Elephas maximus indicus: one gene and its partner. The protein of the gene in region 2 binds, or shares a complex with, the protein of the main gene of each other region. Links are inferred from orthologs where the notes say so. Each region holds a gene or a part of one and is shown on either strand. Other genes may lie near its edges.

Evidence for each region.
Region 1: the proteins of SIRT3 (region 2) and ACSS1 are in contact, whole or in part, in a crystal structure (PDB 3GLT), measured with the Homo sapiens proteins. The link is inferred for Elephas maximus indicus from reciprocal best matches to the Homo sapiens genes SIRT3 and ACSS1. Residues at the interface, in NP_036371.1 of Homo sapiens: Gly145, Ala146, Gly147, Thr150, Pro151, Asp156, Phe157, Arg158, Ser159, Glu177, Phe180, Gln228, Asn229, Ile230, His248, Ile291, Val292, Phe293, Phe294, Gly295, Glu296, Pro297, Leu298, Gly319, Thr320, Ser321, Leu322, Glu323, Val324, Glu325; in NP_115890.2 of Homo sapiens: Ser640, Gly641, Lys642, Val643, Met644, Arg645.

The regions. Positions count from the first base shown.
Region 1 is NC_064843.1:67,868,756-67,872,657, reverse strand, and holds the start of ACSS1 (acetyl-coenzyme A synthetase 2-like, mitochondrial), read left to right. Parts: upstream 1-810; 5' UTR 811-867; coding exon 868-1,204; intron 1,205-3,902. UniProt on the Homo sapiens protein: Catalyzes the synthesis of acetyl-CoA from short-chain fatty acids. Acetate is the preferred substrate. Can also utilize propionate with a much lower affinity. Provides acetyl-CoA that is utilized mainly for oxidation under ketogenic conditions.
Region 2 is NC_064825.1:137,979,964-137,983,865, reverse strand, and holds the start of SIRT3 (NAD-dependent protein deacetylase sirtuin-3, mitochondrial), read right to left. Parts: upstream 2,448-3,902; 5' UTR 2,424-2,447; coding exon 2,345-2,423; exon of another isoform or gene 1,502-2,344; coding exon of another isoform or gene 1,489-1,501; intron 1-1,488. Other genes in the region: PSMD13 (26S proteasome non-ATPase regulatory subunit 13), read left to right, coding at 2,931-3,025.

The DNA of each region.
Region 1 (3,902 bases), on a different chromosome or scaffold from region 2:
ATGCTGAAGTAATTGGAGAAAATTCCCATCACCTCAAATCACTTAAGGTTCCCAGGAGTGGTGTTTCTCTGCCACATCTTCCCCTGTGGGGGAGGTAACCCTACCCACCCCCACCCCCACCCCTCACTTCTCCGCCGGGCTGGGGCTGGGAGCTGGGTGACATGAACACAGGACCCAGACCTTGAACCTGGGGCCCCACCGCCTCCTGGCCTGAGGGCATCGTGGTTAGTCCATTTATCCCATGGGGCATGTCTGTGTGTGTGTGGTGGGGGTACAGACAGGCCCAGAGGGGTGAGGGGTTACAGGCCCAGAGGGGTGAGGGGTTCACTCTTAGGGGAGCACAAATAGATTAATGCTTTGACTCCAGCCTCTGAGAGGCTGAACTTACTGCCCTTTGGTTGTCGGACGCAGCTGTGCGGTTCGCTCCAGTCTGGAACCTGCGCCCCTCCACCGGTACCTCTCTTGTTGCCGGCTTGGCGAAGCCCTCCTCCTCCTCCCAGCCCCCCCCCCCCCCGCCCCGAGTTTCAAGAAGGGCGCACAAACAGAAAGCAAAACATCTGGGCTCAACTGTCAGTTCCGGATTGCAGACCAGGTGGGCGCACCGCGGTCTTGCCAGGCCAAGACCCGGTTCCGCCCTCGCGCCCCTGCAGCAGCTCCACAGGCACACTCCCTTCGCGCTCATCTTCTCCGGGGCGAGCTGCGGGAGGTACCTTCAGACCCCCAGGAGCCCCGGTGAGTGGGTGGTGCCAGGAGGGCGGAGAGGGGGCGGGCCCGCGAAGACACTAAGGGGCTCACCCGGCTCGTGGCGCCTCTGCTGGCTTCGACGGGTGCGGCGGGCGGGACCGGCTCCGGGCGCACGGCGACCGGATGGCGGGGCGCAGCCTGGGCCGCGGCGTCGGGCGGCTCCTCCGCAGCCTGCGCGGGCGCTCAGAGCAGCAGGTCCGGCCGCTGCGCCTGGCGAGCGCGCCTAGCGGACCGGCCTCCCGGGGCCCCAGCAGCGCCGCCGCCGCCGCCGCCGCCGCCGCCGCGCAGCCCGGCTCGTACTCGGCACTGAGCGCGCGGGCGGCCCGGGAGCCGGCCGCCTTCTGGGGGCCGCTAGCGCGGGATACCCTGGTGTGGGACACCCCCTACCACACAGTGTGGGACTGCGACTTCAGCAGTGGCAAGATCGGCTGGTTCCTGGGAGGCCAGTTAAACGTGTCCGGTGAGTGGGCTGGGGGTAGCTTAGGGCGCCCCCAATTCATGCGTCTCAATGAGCCCAAAGAGCTCCCCACCAGCAGCAGCAGTCGCTGGGCCAGGCGGATCGCAGCTGGTGTCTTGGCAGCACCACCGAAGGCCCCTTCCAATTATCCTGCCACACCCGCCCTAATCCACGGTGCTGTGTGATCCCTCTATCGGGATCCCACCCGGTCCCAGAGACTCCAGCACCGGCGGCTGTACGCTGTGCCGAAATCCATGTTCCCCGCTAGGGCCGAAGTTAGCTTGGGAGTCCAGCTGCTGGCTTTGCTGCTCCAGGCGGCTCCTCGGTCGGCTGACTACGAAGTTTAATGACAGTCCCACGACAGCGCCGTGGAGCGCCAGCCTGCAAGGGGCAGCTGGCGACACCTGGGTTAAGCTGGCGTGGTGGGTGCGGGCGGTCGGGAGTTGGGGCTCCCTGGCTCTCGTCTCCCGGTGGAGGCGAAAACGAAAGGCAGTCTGCTGGTTGATACCCGGAGCTGGAGCGCAGTGCGCAGTCGCTATTTGGGGACAAGCCCTGCCCAAGTAAACAAACTTCGCTGTGGCGGGACCCTGAGCTGAGAAAATTCCGGCCCAGCTGCGGGAATCAGTTCTGTCCTTGCTCCGGGCCTGTGTGTGGGAAGAAAGGCACGTCGGGCCATTACAGTCTTCAGCCTTTGCTGAGTCCTCAGAGCCCCAATGCCTGCTTTAGGTCGGGTCGCCTGAGGTCCCAGAAAGCAGCTCCATTGGCCAGTCGCATTCTCTGGCCTTCGCTGAGATGGAACCCACGACTTTTGTTAAGATTTGGGGTTGAGGAGACATACACCATGCCCCATCCCGCTCTAAGGTGCTACCTAGGCAGCAAGGGGATAAGGCCCTGAACAGGATTCAGTGGCCAGTGGGGCTGGGGGCTGGGCAGGAGGGGCCTTGGGCTAGGCGGGGTTGGGAGGAGCTGAGCTCTCCTGAAGGACTGGGATAAGAGTTAGGCAGGCGTGCTCATTTGCCAGGCTAATGTCCTGGCAAAGATCAGAGCTTGGAGGGGAGTTATTCTATTCCTTGCCTCAGTTTCCTCATGTGTAAAATGGGGGTGATAATGCCTAACCCCTAGGCTGACTGTGAGGATGGAGGGCTGTAAGGTGTCTGACAGGTCCGGCCCAGGCCCTAGTACCTATTGGCATTCAATAAAATGTAGCATCTTAAATTTATTGTACTCAGAAATAGCCATAAAATTACATGCAGTGTCTTGCAGCTACTTTTCAAACAAAGAAACTTAGGGAAACTTTGACTAGATTTATTTATTTATTTTGTATTGTGTATTACTTTGCCGACTTGATCAGAATGAGTTTTTTTCTTTAAAATTGAGTCAGCAGCAAGTGACCTTGAACTAGGTGAGAAAGCCCTGAGGTTTGCAGAGTTGGTGGAATGTGCCCTTGAAGAGAAGAGCAACTTATAGAAGAAACAGGGCAGAAACTGTGCAGTTCCTGGGGGAAGTGCCCCGACTTGGAGACCCAGGGCCACGTGGAAACCCCTGGTTGGCTCATGGTGCACAGCTGCAGCCTCGCACTCTCAGATAAGACTGTGGGAGGTCCTACAAGGCTGACAGCAAGGTCCCGGAGCCCCTTCTGTCAGGGCTGAGTGTGTTTAGTAAGCAATTCTTCTGCCTCCCTCTTTCTTCACTTATTCCCTGCAAAGACGCTGCCTTTACAGCTACATGAGCCAGAAATGGAGTTTCAGAAAACTGACTCATAGGAAACCAGCTTTTCAGCAGCATTCTCACCTCAGATATAGTGCCCATCCACTCATCTGGCCAGGAGTGTCTCTGCTTTCAGCCTGTGTCTACAAATAGAGGTGGCAATAAGAAGAAGTGCCACGCTCGCGCTAGAAGGTTGTGAAAGGGGTGTGGCCTGATACGTCTGTCGTGGCTGATAAAGTCAGCATGGCTTGTTCCAAAGAAACATTACTCTAGAAACTCCCATTATGCCTTCAGGAATACAGGAATATCTGTGCCCAGAGTAATCAGGTGCACATCTAGTGCCTGGGCTGGGACTGGGCTGGGAGGACTTGAAGGCTGAGTTCAGCTGGAGCTGTGATCCAAACACCTGCACGGGGCTTCTCTGTGGGCCTGGGCATGGCTGGAGAGGAGAGGTCCCAGAGACCCAGGCAGAAGCTGTTAGGCTTCTTCTGACCCTCCCTGCTTGACTTAATCTGATACATACAGGTTACCTGGTCTGTTGGAGTCAGCTTCCTTATCAACGAGAGTGTCAACACACCCGCCTCAAGGGCTATTGTTCGGATTACAGGAGAAAAAGCTCACAAAGCACGCAGCACTGCCCATAGCACATTACTAGCACCCAATAACTGGTGGTTGCTATTTATTAATGAGGCCTGGGGGATGCTGTGACCTCTACGTGTGGCCTCCAGCAGGGCTGAGACCCACGGGTCTGTGTCCGAACAGCCTGGGGGAGGTAGCAAGCCAGCTGCCTAAATGGCCCTTGAAGCACCACAGTGTCTGCCCATCCCGTGCCCTGGCGTGGCCAGGTAGCCAGGTGGGGCTGTGGTGTCGGAGGCCAGGTACAGCACTTCTGAGGACCACTGAGTGTGGGGGCAGAGTCCCCACCCACCTTCAGTGACTTGCCTCAACTGCGTTTACATAAAGTTGCTTGCAGAAGATTCTTTGGAAAGTCCAG
Region 2 (3,902 bases):
CCAGATGCATCCCTCCCTCACTTCGCATAGCACCAAGAACTGGACCCAGCAGCATTTACCGAGATCCTCTAGAGGCAAGCTGCAGAGCAGAAGAGAAGCTGTCGCCACTATTGAGCGTCTGCTGAGGCACGTCATGCGTAGTCCTCATCTGAGTCACTGACAGACAGATGGACAGGGTTTTACCACCTGCACAGAATGTACTTGGGGTACAGTACTTAAAGTAGACGCTCTATGGTCTGAAACTGCTGGGAGCCGGGGACTGGGGACCCTGAGGTGGGCACAGGTGCTGACTGGGAGATACCGTGAAGAGGGAAACAAGGGGTGATTTCATGTACGAGCCTCAAACTCAAAAGCCAAGGGGCAGAAATTCAAAGGGCTGAAAACCTGTGCAAACTGACAGCTCGTCAGGGCAGCCCCACACCCTGACTCAGGGGAGTACCTCTACAGCAAGTACCCTGCTCTTTCCCCAGCACCTAGAACAAGGGTCTGCCATGGAGTAAGAGTTAAGGAATAGTTTGCTGGCAGGATGAATGACTCCCCAGCATCTTCCTTACAAACTCTTCACTGATATTTTTAGTAACCATGGAAGATGACATTAAGTAACAAGCTTATTTTACTCAAATATTCACTCACTGGTCGTTTAGGTTTGTTTCCAATTTTTAACTCTACAAATAACACTGATTAACAACTCTGGGCCTGAAGATTTTTCCACATGTAGGATCAGTTCCTAGGTAAGATTCCAAGTGTAACCGCTGTGTATAAGGGTATGGACATACACTTGTAGGAGACTAACTGCAGAACCTTTATGGGGTAAGGGGAAACGCTAAAAATGTATATACCTTTAGACGCAGCAGTTTCACTGATAAAAATTCACCTAAAAAGTAGTGTATGAACAAGGTTATTGCTCAGAACTATTTGTAATAACTAAATATTGAAAATCATATCAATAAGGAAATGGTTAATTACAAAAACCCATAGAATGGAATCCTACAGATTAGCATTCAACTGTGTGGATCATAACAAATCATGGGTAACATTGCAAACAAGAGGAATTCCAGAACACTTAATTATGCTCATGAAGAACCTGAACTCAGATCAAGAGGCACTCGTTCAAACAGAACAAGGGGATTCTGCCTGGTTTAAAGTCAGGAAAGGTGTGTGTCAGGGTTGTATCCTTTCACCATACCTATTCACTCTGTACACCAAGCAAATAATCCGAGAAGCTAGACTATATGAAGAAGAACGGGGCATCAGGATTGGAGGAAGACTCATTAACAACCTGCCTTATGCAGATGACAAAACCTTGTTTGCTGAAAGTGAAGTGGACTTGAAGCACTTACTGATGAAGACCAAAGACTACAACCTTCAATATGGACTGCACCTCAACATAAAGAAAGCAAAAATCCTCACAACTGGACCAATGAGCAACATCACGATATAGAGAGAAAAGACTGAAGTTGTCAAGGGTTTCATTTTACTTGGACTTACAATCAACACCCATAGAAGTCGCCGTCAAGAAATCAAAGGACACACTGCATTGGCCACACCTGCTGCAAAAGACTTCTTTGAAGTGTTGAGAAGCAAAGATGTCACCTTGAGGACTAAGGTGCGCCTGACCGAAACCATGGTGTTTTCAATCACCTCATATGCATGTGAAAGCTGGACAAGGAATAAGGACGACTGAAGGGGAATCCATGCCTTTGAATTGTGGTGTTGGCAAAGAATGTCGTCGAATGCACCATGGAGTGCCAAGGGAAGGGACAATCTGCCCAGCAGTAGAGCTGGAACGCTCCTCAGAAGCAAGGACGGCGAGGCTGCATCTGACACACTTCGGGCACGCTGTCAGCAGGGACCAGCCCCTGGAGGAGGACCCCACGCCCGGCACAGCACGAGCCAGCGCCGCAGCGCGGGACTGACAGCGGCTGCAGCGGCGGCTCCAGGCGTCGGCCGTGAGGACGCGCAGGGCCGGGCAGGCTGGGGCTCCGCTGGGCCCGGGCTCGCCGCGAGCGGAAGCCGGCTCCAGGGCGCCTGCCCACGGGCGCCGGCACGAACACACGCGGGGAGCGCCCGGGACGGCGGTGGCTGTGGCTCGGCGCGGAGCCGGCCGGGTACGTTAGGGAGCCGACACCGGCCGGGCCACGCGGACCGCCGCCACGCCCGCGGGACCCCGAGCTCCGGGAGGACGCGCAGGCCGAGGCCGCCCCGCCCGGGACGCAGCGCCCCCGCGGCCTTCGCGCCCGCAGCCACCCCCGCGGGAAGCGCCCGCGAGCCCGAGACGACCGCCCGCCCCGGCCCTCGGGCGGCCCCAGGACGAACTGAGGTCGGCGGCCGCAGGCCCGCTCACCTCCCGCGCCCCAGGGCCTGCGGGCGGGGAGGAACCGCTTCCCCAGCGCGAGCACCGCGCAGCTAGCCCACAGCGCCATCTTCTCCGCGGCCGCCAGCGTCCCGCCCAGCAGCACGTGCCCCGCCCCGCACGTCCGCGCCCGCCCCGCCCACAGCACGCTCTTGCCCCGCCCCGCACGTCCGCGCCCGCCCCGCCCACGGCACGCTCTTGCCCCGCCCCCCACGTCGTGCCGGCCTCCCGGCCCAGCAGCACTTGCCCCGCCCCTCGCGTCCGTGCCCGCCTCCCGGCCCAGCAGCACTTGCCCCGCCGCTTCCCGGCCCAGCAGCACTTGCCCCGCCCCTCACGTCCGAGCCCGCCACGCCCACAGCACGCCCTTGCCCCGCCCCCGCACGTTCGTCCTCCCCTCCAAGGGCGCGCGGTTACCCTAACGATCAGCGACCGCCTAGGGTTGGGCGAAGGCGCTCCCGGCCTGCCCCGCGGGACTCGGCGCCGGAAGTGAGTGAGCAGTTCCGGCGGCCGTCCCCACGGCGCTGACATTTCAGCCGTAGACTTGCTTGTGCCGTTGTACTGGCCTCTCCCTGCCGCCATGAAGGACGTACCGGGCTTCCTACAGCAGAGCCAGAGCTCCGGACCTGGCCAGGCCGCCGTGTGGCACCGTTTGGAGGAGCTGTACACGAAGAAGTGAGCGCCGAACCAAGGGAACCCGAGCCCCCGGGGAGGGGAGAGCAAGGCCGAGGGGCTCCGAGGCGGCGGGCCGGGGACGCCGGGGACGGGGAGGGGGCGTGTGGGAGCAGAGCTTGCCTGGGCGGAGGGCGTCAGGCCGGCCGGTTTGTGTGCGGGCAGTGGGGACCGGCCGAGCCGGGAGGGCGGGCTGGAGCCCCGAGGACGGAGCGAAGGGCAGTGACTGAGGCTTCTCAGCTCTCGGTCCTCTGCTCTTACTGAACGGCTGCCGGTTGGGCGGTGAGTTCAGTTCTGATTTCAGTCAAAGAAGCAGGGTAGCAGACCCTGGTGACTCGTCCTTAGCCTTGTCGTAGTTCGATTTCTCACGGTCTAGAGGCAGGAACGGAGGCCGGTGCAGCTCTGTTCTTTTCCTTTTTGATTCTGCGGCTGGTCACCTGCTGGGGTGCCACCGCCTCCACCCTCCCCGTGGTCCCTACTTTGCATTGCACTTCACGTTAGGCTTTATGTCATTAGAGAGATGTCAGAGTTTTGGTTTGTTTAGAAACAGTGAATTCCAGAACAATTAAATTGTCTGTTGCTAAGCTCCAACCTGTTTTAAAAAGAAAACTAAACTGCTGACGCTGGGCTACAGATGTTCCATAGGAAAACACACCTCCTGTACTAACTTCTCTGATAACAACCCTAAGGGTTTGGTGTCGTGCCTTTCATATAGGCATTCGGTACATGTTTTGATGGTGTCCAGCAGCCTTCTGCTATTAGCAGTTTTTGAAGGAAGTTTACAAGGGTGTGATTCTTAGTGCTTGACCAGTAACTGCGGGTATTTGGTAGCACATGGTACTTTTCAAAGCATTTTAATATGTGTTGTTATTAGCCTTCA